2 linked regions of the Notamacropus eugenii genome follow. The protein of the gene in region 1 purifies or fractionates together with the protein of each later gene. This does not show direct contact. Links are inferred from orthologs where the notes say so. Each region holds a gene or a part of one and is shown on either strand. Other genes may lie near its edges.

Region 1 (7,136 bases):
AACTGGAATTCCTGGTTTCTGTCTTTCTCTTATTCAATTCACCCTCCACATTTATTTCCAAAATAATGTTCCTAAAACACAGATCTGACTGTATCACTTTCCTACTCAAGATTCTTCAATAGTTATTTATTGCCTTAGATTAAAATGTAAACTCCTCAGCTTAGCATTTAATGCCATTCATTTGACTTCAGACTATATTTCCTCATATAATTTCTACTTATGTACTGTACTATGTAGCAAAACTGGCCTACTAGCTGCTCCTCATACATAACATTCCAATTCCATCTCCATGTCTTTGTACACAATATCCCCTCACAGTCTGGAATGTAGTCTCACCTCCACTTCCATCTAGTGGTACCTAGACCATTTAGTCTAAGTTCCTGAAGCCTAAGGATGCTAAGTGACTTGCCAAGTATCAAAAGTGAAATCTGAACCCAGATGGTCTTTCCACTGTGTATGCTGCTGCCTTGTTTCTCTGGTAACCAGTGATCCATGACTGAGCTTTTAGACCACAACCCCAGCACCTACCATGATGATATACACAGAACAGTTGTTTTGCTGAATCAATTAATTATCTTTGTCTAGATTCATTTGATCAAGAAATAATGGCCCAAATGTAAAATACTGTTTGTACAGCTTTAAAGTTTATCCACTTTAATTCACACAACTCATTATATGGACTGAATGTAAGTTTCCAATTGAATATAAGCTCCTTGATAGGAAAGCCATAATTAGAGATTCTTGAACTGGAGTAAATTAAGCTAAAGTATGAACACTCCTGTGTATCGCTGAAGTAAGCCGGAGACAGATCATGGGAGCTGAATCAGAAGAACTGGGAAGTCATGTGAGGCTAGGCTGGGATGAAGAGGTCTATAAGCCAGGCACTGAACTTATTAGGGAGAAGAAAGAATGTCTTGGAGTTCCAGAGATTTCAGTCATAAGGATAACACAATGAGCCTTAAAGGAAAAAGAGTTGGCTGTTGAGTGACAGTGGCAGAGAGAATACTAGGGAGCAAGAAATATGCCAATTCTTCCTCCTGGTCTTGTATGTTTGGGGTTGTGACATATAAGTAGCCAGATTTGGAAAAAAAGTCAGAAAATCCAGCATCTTACAGAGAGAGCTAGGTTTTGGTGCACAGCACAACATAGAAGCAACATGAGAAGATATCTAGGGAAAACTGAAGGTGATGGCTGTGTGAGTGAAGGAGTCAGATGTGAGATATGTTGTAAAGGCAGAAAAGGCAAGTTTGGCAAGTGACTGGATATTTGTGGGGTCAAGGCAAGTAAGGGGAAAGTATAATGCCAAGATTATGAAGCTGAGAAACCACAAGGATGGAACCTTTAACCTAAATAAGGAAGACTGGAAGAAAGAAATCTTTATGAGGAAGGATATCGAGTTCAGTTTTAGACCTATCAAGATTAACATGCTTCTGGGGCATCTAGTCTGGACCAGTCCAGTGTGCGTGTGCTCACAGGTATCTGCCGTATCATCTCCCCCAAGACTAGCAGTCCTACTCCCTTGCCTTCTCCTGGGTCCACCTGCTTTTCTCAGCCACCAACAGGAGGATCCCTAGCAGCAGGAGAAAGGGAAGACAGATCCCTCCTCTTCTGTAACCAATCTCTGCTCCTTTAATGTTTTCCTATGTCCCTTTCTCAGAAGTAACAGGTCTAGCAAGAACTGAGGAAGGAAAAAGTAGTGTTTCCCTAGATGTCAGTAGCTGAGGCAATACCTTGGCTTTTCTATTGCAGATTATTAAAGATGATTTTCTCCCTCTGTGTTTTCTTAGGACATAGCATACATAGTACATAAGATGTTTCATAAATAAATGTTGTTGATAATTCTTCAATGTGTGATGACTTCAATTTGAGGAGTGGGGCAAATGCTGGATTCTTCATAGCTCCAAACAGGTATGCCTTTTAAGTTACCGGAAAAAAATTAATACTGCCCAATTTGACAAAATGATCTGTTAGAATTCATCTCTTACCCAGATACAAGTCCCAAGATACTGAGATAATAATTATGTACATTGCTTCATCTAGTGAGGACCTTTTCCAGTTACACTGGAAGTGGAGAACTGAGAAGTGCATTTACTAAATGGACTCAGCATTTACTAAACACACTGCCTAGAGTATTACTCTTTAGAAAGATTCATTTCAGTACCATCTATTACAGACATTAGCCAAAATTTCCTTTTAAAATTATTCATAATTTATTAGAAGTATCTATTCTACCAGAGTGGAAAGTACAAGAATAAACTCCTTATAACAGTTTATAACAATGAGATCGGGGGTCTTTATAAGGGGATACCAAACTCCGCATGTCCAAATTAAAACTCATTTTTCTCTCCTTCCTTCTAAACATATGGGATAGTCTAAATGCACCCCTACCTCTTCTTTCTTCCAATTGGGATTATCTTCATTTATTCACACATTCATTCATTCATTCCTCTTAGCACATTACCTAGCACAGGAGAGCTTTTTCTTACGTTCATTCGTTCATTGACTTATTCATCTCCCCTTCAGTTATTACTAAGGAGCTACTTCTGGCACTGTCCTGCCATCACTTTTCCTAGGCAATGCGGACAAAGACTGGAGCATGCGGCCCAAGAAATGAAGAGGAAACATCTCAGGGTCACAGGATCCAGAACAGAGGGTGTGCTAATTAGTCTGGAGAGAAGAGAGGCAGGAAGGTGGGGTCTAAAGGGCACCGATTTGGAGGCAGAGAAGTTGCGTCTGAAAATTAATGACTTTGAGTCTGAAGTGACTTTCTCGCCAGGCCTCAGTTTCCCCATCTGTAAAATGGTCCCTTCCAGTTCTAAGTCTAGGGCCAAGGGTGAGGACTAGAGAGTGGGGTTGCTCGCAAGGCTGAGAGGGCTGGAGACAGGGGTTTGGGTCGGAGATCCTGGGCAGGGCTGCCAGGGCCTGGAGCCCGGGAGGGGAATCGTCCTCGGGGAAGGCGGGCCCGCCGGGCCGGAGTCCTGGATCCCTCCCCCTCCTCACCAGGATCAGCACCGTGGGCACCAACACCAAGAAGAGCACCGCCGGCTGCTCCACGAAGGGCACCATCCTCCATCCCCAGGGCCCGCAGCTTCGCTGGATCTGGCCCTATCCCGCACCTACACCTAAGCGGAAGCGCCGACAGTTCGGCCGCTACGGCCCGCAGCCGCGCCCCGCCTCCAGCGTCGGGAGAGACGCCTGGCCTAGACCCGCTTCCCGACCCGCTCCCACAGCGCCGCCTGTCGGCAATGTGCCTCGCTTTGACAGGCTGGCTCCCACCGCGCATGGGCAGTCCGAGCCTCTTGCCCCGCCCACCATCAGCGTTTCCGGTCCTAGATGGTCTTAGCTCAGAGCTCCTCCTGGGCTTGGATTTGTTGGCTCTTTTTTAAGATACTAAGTTCCTGGAGGGAAAAGGGATCGTCCCATTTTTCGGTCAGACCTGGCTCCAGGAGCCTAAAGCCAGTCCCGGCCGTACTTCGTCTCACTCCCCGGGGCGATATCTCCGAGAGATGGATATTTTGGTCCATCTCCCAAGGAATTGAGTATATTAAGTGGTGCTTTTATACAGTGTATAATGGATTACCTGTAAAAACAAGAAAACCAAAACCGTGCCGGTGCTCGCAGTCACCCCGTGGGCGGCAGGTGCCCCCTCGGTGCTGGCAGGCCACTCTCTCCCGTGCTCGCGCGCGACACACGTCTGGGTGAAGAAAGCTTCCCCGTCTTCCTCGAAAGAAGGGGAGGAACTTGGGGGGCAGCCGCGCAGGGTGACGTGGCCAGACGGACGGCTGCAGCGGGCCCCCCATCTGTCGTCTGCAAACTTTAGGAAACACGTGTTCAAAACTTGCCCGCGGTGCCCGCGCTGGGCGTCCGGGCAAAGCACGGCCCGGAGCGCACCGCTCCCCACGAACCCCGAAGGGGCAGCGCCGGGAGATGCCCCGTAACCGGACGTCCCCGAGCCGTGTTCTTCACTTCCCCAAATGGAGATTCGCTAAAATTCGAAATCAAAGGAAAACACGAGAGATGCTACCGCTTCGCTCAGGGTCAGGCCACCAAGCCAGGAGCTGGTCGTGGTCGCCTCCCGAACCGTCTCCGTCCCAGCGCAGGCAGAGCGGCCGGGTTTCGTGTCGAATGTGCGGAGGCGGAGCGGGCGCCGGCGGCGGAGGAGGGCGGGCTCCCGCCGCCGGGAAACACGTGGGACGCGTAGAACATGGCGGCTGGATTCAAGTGAGTCTCCCCGGGGGACTCCGCCGGGAGGGGTGCGGGGAGCGAGGGAAAGACGCCGGGGGCGTCTGCGGCCTCAGAAGGAGAGCCGAGCCCCGCGGCCTGCCCGAGCGGGCCGGGCTGGGCCTTCTGCGCCCTGGGATCCCCGGCCCGTGGGCCCCGCTTCCACTCCCCCGAGTGGCACGTCGGGGAGCCGGTCGGGTTTCAGGGCCCTCGGCTGCGCAGGGTAACCTCTGCGCCTCTGACCTGAGGGGAGGCGGGCCAGTCTCCCAGTGCCCGGGCCGGGGCGGGCTGCGCGGGGGGCAGGAAGCTCCAGGCGGGTCCAGACCGCGCTTTCTTTCCGGAGCCTCCGTGCTCGTTGCCGTCGGATCCCCGATGGGCCGGCCGCGTGGTCTGCGCACAGAGGCTGACCCGAGCCGCGTCTTTGCCACAGTTAAAAAGCCCAGCCCTAAATAAAACTAGACGTTTAAAGAAGCCAAGCTGGCGCCGGGAGGACCCCGTGCGAGCCAAGAGCATTTTGTGACGCTAAGGACGTAGCGTGAATCCATGTGAGGGATCCACAGATTTAGACACCTTTTGTTACAACGTCAGAAAGAGAATTTGAAACACAGTGTTGGCTTTAGTGTGCTTGTGAATCTTTAAAAATAAATTGTATTTTCAATCATTTCAGAACAGTCGAACCACTGGAGTATTATAGGAGATTTTTGGTAAGTAAAAGCAACGGGGTACATCTAGAACTTTGGAAGTGGAGGAGGCCGGTCATCTAGTTCAGTCCCCCCGTTTTTCAGATGAGGAAACTGAGGCCTAGGTCAAGTGCCTGGCCAAGGTCATCCGGGCTTAACGGTAGAGCACCTTGTTACGTCACTGTAAAGTTCACATGAGATTTCAGGGAGGCCTTTGCGGGGTTCACACGACATGATGGAGAAGCATGAATGAGGGAATGATATGCCTGCGGTATGATTAAGGAAAGTATATGGGAATCGTGTTTGTTTATTTAGAAAGAGAACTGCCGTCCAGATGGAAGGGAGCTGGGGGAGTTCAGGACCACTACTGTCAATATAGGTAAGAATATTCAGCGTCCTGAAAAGAAACGTAAGTGCTCCAACACCAAACCAACTTTCTATGTAGCGCTTGTTCTGTACTGCTGATAAATTCTTCTGGTGGTTTTTTTTTTTGGAAATGCTTTTTTTTTTAACCAAAAGATTTTGTTCCTGTATGCGTGTCATAAATTGTTGACACAGGCTTAAGTATATGAGTCATTTATGAAAAGCTAGATGGAGTAATGGAATAAATTGGAATCATGGTTCTCTTATGAATAATAAACCAAATCTTATTTTAACAAATGTAGCTACAATAAAAATTTCTATATGGAATATTAGTAAGTCCCAGTTTGTTTCCAGCAATATGCAGCAATCAAATCTAATAAAGCAAAGGATTCAAAACATTTTGTAATGAAATTTACTTTAGGATAATCACTTGATTGTGTTAATCTGTGTAAGTATATCATTTATCTGTAATAAACTTGGCACTTCTTTGTTCAGAAACGTTTGGTGGCTCCCTGTTGCCTCTGGTATAAATGCAGACTCTTCATCATGGCACTTAAAGCCCTTTAGTCTTGACTCTCTTTACTGTTCCAGTCTTCTTTCATATTATTGACCTTTACACAATTTCATAGTCCAGCCAAACTGGCCTACTAGTTGTTCCTCAATCTCTACATTCTATCTCTGTGTTTTTTGTGTGTTGCTTCTCCTGCTAGGAATGCATTCCTTCCTTATCTCAGCTCTTCTCAGGTGCTGCCTTCTGTACATCCTTTCTGATACTCCTTCTACTCAAATTTCCTCTTATTGTACTTATCAGTATACTAGTTGTACCCCCTCAAAGAATACAGGTCTCTCAAGGACAGGAATTGTTTGGGTTTTGTCTTTATATTCCAGCACCTGGCACAGTATAAATGTTTGTTGAATTGGACTTGACTTTAGATAGAATTAGATTTTGTCCGCTGACTGATGAGGCAAACTAGAAGCAAAATTTCACTGACTTGACCAGAACCTCCAAATACACGTAAAGCCATGATGAGTTTTTAATCAAATGGACAAAACTGTTAAACCTGGTAATAATTACTGGTAAGATGACTTTTGAAATTTTTTTTCTAATAAGTTTTTTAATCTGTTAAATATCAGGTTCAATTACTACTGCAGATGGTTCTGCTTTAGTGAAGTTGGGAAATACAACAGTAATTTGTGGAGTTAAAGCGGTAGGTCTCTTTTTCATTTAATCATCTAAAAAAGTTACCAGATTAGTTTCACTGATCATTTTTTTTTAACCAGACCTTTGATTTCACCAGTGTAGGGAGCTCCTGGTGAGGATACTCTCTCTACTAATACAGATGGAGTCTTGGAGACTTACCTGGGACACTGACAGGTTACGTAGTGGCCAGCATGACATAGAGGATGTGTCAGATGCTGGACTTAAACCTAGGTTTTCCTTACTACCAGGGAAGCTCATTATCCTTTTGCCATGAGGCTTCTCATTTCTCTTATTTAGATGATAATGAATGTCTCTAACACTGCAGTAGACTGGAAAATCCAGTAGCATTTTTATCAGGCTCTTATTTTTATTTCCAAAGAGCAATTTAAGGATTAATAATGGTTGTAACACAGGCCAGAGAAACAAAAGTTCAGTAATGACACACGAATTGTGATATGATTATTCTTTGGATGCATCAAAATTGGAATTCATTTTTAATTTTTCAGATTTTAAAAATTATTTGAGAAACTAAGATTCCTAGGATAAGCCTGTTGGTAACATGAAATCATAAAAAATATTTTATTTTCAGGCATTTACTTTGTATGGAACATAATGGAAAACCTAAGCTAGTCAAAATAAAATAGTTTACATAGTAGTGTGTTAATAGAACT
Region 2 (7,457 bases), on another chromosome or scaffold:
AGCTATATTCAGTTATAAAAAACTAAAATGAGTTAAGAAATTCTGTGCAGTATAATCATCAAATTAAATTTAACTATGCATAGTGACCATGTCATAAGACTGACAAATGAAAACTTAATTCTGTCAAATAACACCAGAACAGAAAATGTAAGTAAAAAATAGAGATGCTCATATTTTAAATAATTTTCAGTGGCTAATCACACAACTGCATTTTCCCTGCATGGTAACATGTTTCAAGAGCATAAGACCCCACCCCTCTCACCATTTTCCTTAAATTCAATGAATGAAGTTTAGTTCTCATTAATTTTGAAGCAGCAATTCTTCTGAGCTTCTTGTCAAAAGTCCCAGTCAAAATATGAAAGGTTTCTGAAAAAAAAAAAACAAAAAACAACTGAAAGCATTTTGATAGGAATAACCTACAAGCCTGAATGCCTTCTCCACATGAGGCAGTAGGAGAGTTAGCAATATAACCTTAAAAAAAATGAAATAGCATCCCTTAGTGGTGTAGAAAGAAATTACGTTATAGAAAGAAAAAAGTAAACCGCACAATAAAAATCCTGCTGAGATACACAATTTACACACAGAAAATAATTCTTTTTCTCTTTTAACATACCCGCCCCCCCCCCAAAAAAAAACCCTCTTAAGCAGAACATTTTATGGTAATCACTGCAAAGTGGATTACGGGGATTCATAGTGCTTTCAGAAAGCAAAAAGGGAATTATTATATCTGTAACAAAAAGTGAAAATCAAGGATTAACATCTTTTAATGTATATGAAATTAAATTACCCTTAATACAACAGAGTCATCTTGGCAACCATTTCTCTTTAAGCGAATTTTCTACTGAGTTGGGACACAAATGAAAATAACCTTGTTTTCGGATAAATTTGGTTATTTTAGCTATTTACATGGCATTTAGTCACTGACTAGTTGGTGGTAATACCCAACAAATTCTGAAACACTAGCTAGAGTAACTGAGGCCCAAGAAAGTTAGAGCAGCCATATAGTGTGTGCTATAGAACCCTTACTTGAATTCTGTAGGTCTTAATTATCAGTACTTACAACATCCTGCTGCTGGACTTCTTACAAAGATAATATTTTCATGCCTCCCTTCTTTTGTGCCTCTATACCCTTGGCTACCTGTTCAAAATATCTTTGGCTTGGGCATATCATCAACTTTGAAAAATTTTCGAGAAAATTCCACAAGCTTCTTCAATAACCCATTCAAGCATTGGTACCACCTGAGAAAAGTGTTTTTCCAAATGTGCATCAGTGATATTTGGCCCAGCAGGTTCCCAAACAGGGGTTCTTAACATAGGATTTATGTGAATTGAAAAGAAAATCTTATAACTGTATTTCAATAGTTTCCTTTATAGTTCTCTATTTTATTTTATGTGTTTAAAACCATTATTCTGAGAAGGGGTGAATATGTTTATTTGACTACCAAAGGGATCCATGAAACACTCAAAAAAATAATAAGAATCTCCATTCTAAAAGAAGCTGCCATACTTGGAAGCCTAACTCTTTTCCTCCCACAGATTCCTTTCTTAGAATCAAGATAGAAGAGTGGAATTGCCAAGGGCTGAGCTAAATGAGGATACCCAGAGATCCAGTCAAAATGGTTTAGCAGTCTTCAGCTATGCAAAGGGTTACTGAGGGCTGGAACGTTCTACCATCTACTATTAATTGATTTACAATCAAGAATACAAGAAATATATAATACAAGGATACAAGAAATTGTGAGTTAAAGATTGTCAATTCTGGTATCCCATGAAGATGGCAAATTTAATGTAAATAAACCTAAGTCCCTCAGGAGCAATAAGTTCTATGCCTACCCTTTGAAAAACTGCACATCTGGTCACCACTCATGGTATCACCCTTCATCAGTAGAAATTCAGAAGTTGTTGTTTGCTGATGGCTGCACTCTTGAAACACATGCAAGTAAGCATGCAAATGATTAACAACTCTTTGCAGAATAAGCACACTGATGCTAAGCCTGAAGAAGAAGCAAGTCATGCACCAGGAGAACCCATTCCTAGTCAATTATTTTCATCAGCAATATGGAGTGAAAAGCTGTCACTGAATTTGCTATCCTGGCATCACGCTGTCCAACGATACACTAACTGACAATGAAGTCAAAAACTGAAAATTGAATCAAGATGACCAGCCAGTATGTCTTTTGTAGGGGCAGACAGATCATGTATTGACATGGCGCCATGCTACGGATCAGACTAAAAATGTGCAGAGTGGCAAACATGTCCAACCTCTACAGGACTATAGAACTTAGATCTATCACAGAATTCAAAATTGGTTTCTTGAGTAGATTAATAATATGTAAACTATATTTAACATACAACAAGACTGGAACTTGTGCTAAAATGCTGCTTGAGAGTGAACTGAAGTGAAGGTGATTATAAGCTGGGACAACAAAAGACACCTTGTGGTTCAGCTTTAAGCAGACATAAAGGCATGAAATGCTGACTATACAGACAGACCAGTCTGAAACTAAGGGAGCAGAGACAACAGGGTAGTTTATTTTAAGAAAAGCATTGGGCAATCTTTGAGAAAAAAAAAGAAAGGGCAATATTTTCCATTTTAGATTGTAAATTCTTAGAAAGCAGGGATTTTCCTTTAACATACTCTGCATAGTGCTTATTGGTGCAATGAATGCACAGATGCTTAAGAAGTACTTAAAATTAATGAAGTCGTTTCTCTTTACCTAAAATCATGAACAAAGTATTTTGTACTATGTTCTATCACCAAAAAAAGATGATGAAACATAAAGAAGCATAAAACTACATATAATACTACAAATTATTTTGTTAGGTTTTGTCTTGTCTTTTTATTCATTTTTGCCTCTCCTCGTATGCCTAGTGTTTAATAAAATGCCTATTGACTTGACTTAGTGATTTCAGGTACAAGGAAACTCCAATGATTTTGTTAATCAATCAACAAGAAATTATTACACACCTACAAAAGTACTATACTAAGTGCTGTGGATACAAACACAAATAAATAAATAATCCCTGTATATCAGAGAAACAAAATGTGTGTGCATATATGTTGTATATATATAGTGTGCATATATATATTATATATGTATGTGTACCTTTTTACTTACAGAATAAGTATGAACAGAATTCAAAATAAATACAAAGTTGCATTTATTTTGGAGGCCACTAGAAATTAGAGGAATTATAATAATAGCTAGTATTCATATAGTTCTTTAAAGTTTGCTATATGGTGTATATTATCTCATTTGGTCTTCACAGCCATCCAAAGACTGTCTTATCTGAAATTTCGATCAACTCCATGCCTGAAAGAATTCTACATATAGTAAGATTTTAATAAATGTTTGTTGAATCAATAAATGAATGGAATCCACTGATGATGAAATACTACCAAGCACATCATCTAAGCTCCAAACCCTTAAGGTCTTTTTAAAAATTAATGTAGTATCACCCTCACATGTAAACATCTTGCGCTAGGACAAAGTAGGTGCATAGGCACACATGCTACCTTACTATGCACCCTTTTTCACAAACAGGGCACCACTGAGCAGCCCTTCCGTTATTCCAAGCACAATGAGGGAAGGATCTTCCCCAGTTGCCTAGTGACAAAGCTCAGTTTAGATTCGTGGTGATGGGAGGTTTCAGGTAAGGTGTCCCTTAGAGTCCTACGGTGTATTCTTTGCAGATCCTAGCTACAAAGTTACAGACACGAGAAACTCCATCCCCTCTGTCTCCCAAGCCTGGAACGTTCTGAACTCCCACCCCTGGCTTCTTTCCAAGTCTCTGCTACAGTATCACCTTCTGCCAGAAGTCTTTCATGATCTCCGCAAGTGTGTGTATATAGATAGTCTATATATGTGTATGTATGGAGAAGGCAGGCTGTACATATATACACACATGTATATGTTTATACGGAGAACAGACTATACGGACACACACACACATACATCTGCGTGTACGTAGCTCTTCTAACCTGGTCCCCCCCATTAGAATGGGGGCTCCTTTAGGGAAGGGATTGTTTTTGTCTTTGCTTCTCCAGGGCTTAGCGCAGTGCCTGGTACACAGCTGGTGCTTAATACATGTTTGCTGCCTGACTTCAAGTGGAAAGGAAACAGCTGTGGTAATTAACAGCCACAGTAATTAACCTGCTTTCCCAAGAAGTGGGAGTCTTTCATGTATTTTCTCCTCCCCTCCTTTGTTTCCATAATCTCTTCTTCAGGCATGGGTAGAGTTTTCTCGCCCTGCCCTCCGAGCGCGCACACACACACCCTCTCTCTCACTGCAGGGAGGGTAAACTGAGGCACGGAGCTCCCTCGGGGTCGGCCAGTGACAGAGCTCTGACTCGGACCCCGACTCCGCACGGAGGGAGTTTCTCCGCGAGGCCCCGAGATCGAGGAGGGGGCGGCCGTTGGGCCCCGCAGCGGGGCGGCCCCGGCAGCTGCAGCAGCCCCAGAGGCAGCTCCGGCCTCGGGCCGGGGGGAGGCGCCCCGCCGCGCTCAGGGCCCGGCCTCCAGAGGACGGAAGGGGGCGGGCTCCACGCCGGGGCCTCGCCTCTTCCCGCTGCCGGGCCTTTGCCGCCGCCATGCTGCAGAAGCGGGAGAAGGTGCTGCACCTGAGGACGTTCCAGGGCCGCACTGTGCGCATCGTGAGGGAGCACTACCTGCGGCCCAGCGTGCCCTGCAACAGCCCGCTGTGCCCGCAGCCCGCCCGCTGCCGTAACGGTCAGAGCCGGGGAGGGAGCAGGAAGGGAGCTGGCGGGGGCGGGGGCGTAAACGCGGCCGAGGTTTCCGGCCCTCCCGCAGCTGTGGCGCCCCCTGCAGGGAGGGCCGAGGCGAGGCGTCCAGACGGGGTCTGCGCCTCCTCGTGGCGGCGGGGACGCGGGATGGCCCTGCGGCCTACGCCCGGCCAGGGCTAGGTGGTAAACACTGGGCGTGAGTCCCCGCCTCCCCCCCGGGGGCGGGGCTAGAGCCTGGGCCTGGGCGGGCCTGCGAACTGCGGCCTCCCCCGACTGCCTTCCGATGGGAACGTAGACCCCGGTTTGTGGGTAACGAGGCGTCCTCTGGAGGCGGGGTGGGGGGCGGCGGGAAGCAGGCATGGCCACACTGCGCCTGCGCGCCTGCGGTCGGCGCCCCTGCAGCGGGGGAGGTGGGGGGTTTCTGCTGCTTACCGCGCTCTAGAAAGTTTGCCCTGTATTTCAGCGTAAACGGGGTGGGGCTTTGGGGGTAACTTTTAAATATTTTTTATACGTATATATTATATGTAACGTATTATATCTAGAAACATCAGTCTGAGGCGCAAAAAGATTAGGACCCCCGCTCGTAGAGCTCATTCCCATCTTCTATCTCTCTCCCTTCCCCCTCCCGGCCGTCCTGCCCCCCACTTTCCCTCGGCCTTGTACTGGGGACTGGAGGTACACGTTGCTGCCTCATTAGAAGGTCGTCCTCCCCCCCTCCTCCCGTGTCTGGCCCGCAGTGAGGGCTTAATGAGAGCTTGTTGATTGATTGATCTCAAGTTGATTGATCTGCTTTGGGTTCCAGATTCGTGTTCTTAAAGATGATTCTTGTTTTGGAGCTTAGCACCCTGTAGTCTTATGAAAGGCGATGGCCTGTTGTCCGCCCCCTTAGGAACCGCCTGGCTCCAATGATGACTGGGCTGGAGACCATAGGAGAAGTGCCCTTGCTTTCTAAAGGCTCAGGGACCATTCCTGACTGGGGCAGGGTCTCCCAGAGCAGGCGAAAGGGTGGATTCTAATGGAAAAGTCCCATGGCCACCTGGATGCCCCCTTCCTCATGCTGTGCATGGATCCATACCTTTACCCACCATCATGGTGGCAGGAGACTTGCAGAAGCCATGGTAACCCTTGCTGTTAGTTCTTCCTGAAAAAACTTTGGCCTTTGGTGTGCTCTGCAGGGTCTTCTTTAAGACCACCCTCCAGTTCATACTGCTGAGTTTAATAATAGGTTTTAGAGTTGAAGGAACCTCCAGACTGAGGCCCAGAGGTGTTAAGTAACCAGCCCATATTATCATTCCTCTAGTGGAAGGTGGGTTGCGGAAGTCCTGTTTGGAATCCTTAACTTCAGGGCTTGGTGGAACATGAATGGTCAAAGTTGGGTAGACCCATGAGCTGGATGGAAATTGTATCATTCATTGCCATCCATAATAGTTTATTCAATTAACACCTGCGTTATAGATGACTAGCATTACTCTCTGAAACATAAGGAGAACTCCTGGCTTGAAATTATATTTAGAAATACATGATTCTCTGGAAATTGCCTTTTTCACTCAGTCTTCAGATATGAGTTGTTAGGCAGTAATGAGTTAACCCAGAATATCTAAGTAATCCTAAAAATGTGGTTTTTTTTTTCAGAAAATCCATCAACTTCCCCCAGTGCAGCTCTGGCACCATAATAAACCATGTTATGCTTTTATTTATCCCACCTTTAGAAAAATGAAGCTGCTAAGTTTACCTGGTCTTTGGCCCTCTACCAAAGTAGATCTGTCTTGTCTTTTAAAAACCATGCAAGGTAGTTAAGGTTGTAAGTTATTTTGTACGCTGGGACTCTGCGACATGGCAATGGTAATAAAGCAGCCTTGGAACTGTTGTCTCATCTCTTAAATTTTGCATTATGTTCCAGATGGGAAACTTTTGTCCAGTGATGTGACTCATTATGTTATCCCTGACTGGAAAGTTGTTCAAGATTACCTTGAGATTCTTGAGTTTCCTGAGCTGAAAGGTATTATTTTCATGCAAACAGCCTGTCAAGCTGTACAGCATCAAAGAGGACGAAGGTATATCTGTTTTGCATAATTTTTACTTCTGATTTGAACTTATTAAATAAGAAAGGTCCTGGAGGGGAAAGGGCAGGATAAGAAATCTATTATTTTGGAATAGGGAAAAGGAATTTTGGAACTAATTTGTTATTTACTTTTTTTTAATTTACTTGGAAATAATCTGTTATTTCTTCCTTTAATAAGGGATTATGGAAGGCATTTTTGAAGTTGTTCTATTTTATGGTTTTTGTTTTAGCACATGATCGAAGCATATTCGTTTGGCTCCGTAGCTCATATCCCAGTAGGTTGGTGTTTTAAGGTTACAACCAGCTCAACCTTCACATTATTTTGTTTTCTCTCTTGTGGAAGAAAGCTGATTGGTGATTTCTTTTTAGAGTCTTTAGCACGTTAATCTTGATATATACGTACATGTATACATAGAACTCTGTACATGTATGTGTATATACATATCCATTCTTTCAGAAACTTGCAGCAATTTATTGAAGGAAAACAAGTTCAGTATTTGCTGTAAAATCTATGCTTCTCCATTGCGAGTGCTTACAGATCATACCATCTAATAATTTACTGAAGGAGGCCTAAAATAAACTCATGTTTTGTTCTAGAGTCTCACCATAGCTGCCATCCACAATAATTGTATTTGCCAAACAAAGGCCTTC

Evidence for each region. The genes of interacting proteins can lie anywhere in the genome.
Region 2: the proteins of EXOSC8 (region 1) and DIS3L purify together in Homo sapiens (affinity purification with mass spectrometry; 4 studies listed by BioGRID and IntAct, counting the BioPlex papers as one, with this or other methods). This does not show direct contact. The link is inferred for Notamacropus eugenii from reciprocal best matches to the Homo sapiens genes EXOSC8 and DIS3L.

The regions. Positions count from the first base shown.
Region 1 is NC_092876.1:98,499,219-98,506,354, forward strand, and holds the start of EXOSC8 (exosome complex component RRP43), read left to right. Parts: upstream 1-4,127; 5' UTR 4,128-4,204; coding exon 4,205-4,221; intron 4,222-4,888; coding exon 4,889-4,925; intron 4,926-5,216; coding exon 5,217-5,310; intron 5,311-6,398; coding exon 6,399-6,472; intron 6,473-7,136. Other genes in the region: ALG5 (dolichyl-phosphate beta-glucosyltransferase), read right to left, coding at 3,001-3,066. UniProt on the Homo sapiens protein: Non-catalytic component of the RNA exosome complex which has 3'->5' exoribonuclease activity and participates in a multitude of cellular RNA processing and degradation events.
Region 2 is NC_092872.1:128,844,836-128,852,292, forward strand, and holds the start of DIS3L (DIS3-like exonuclease 1), read left to right. Parts: upstream 1-4,436; 5' UTR 4,437-4,591; coding exon 4,592-4,730; intron 4,731-4,989; exon of another isoform or gene 4,990-5,053; intron 5,054-6,644; coding exon 6,645-6,798; intron 6,799-7,457. UniProt on the Homo sapiens protein: Catalytic component of the RNA exosome complex which has 3'->5' exoribonuclease activity and participates in a multitude of cellular RNA processing and degradation events.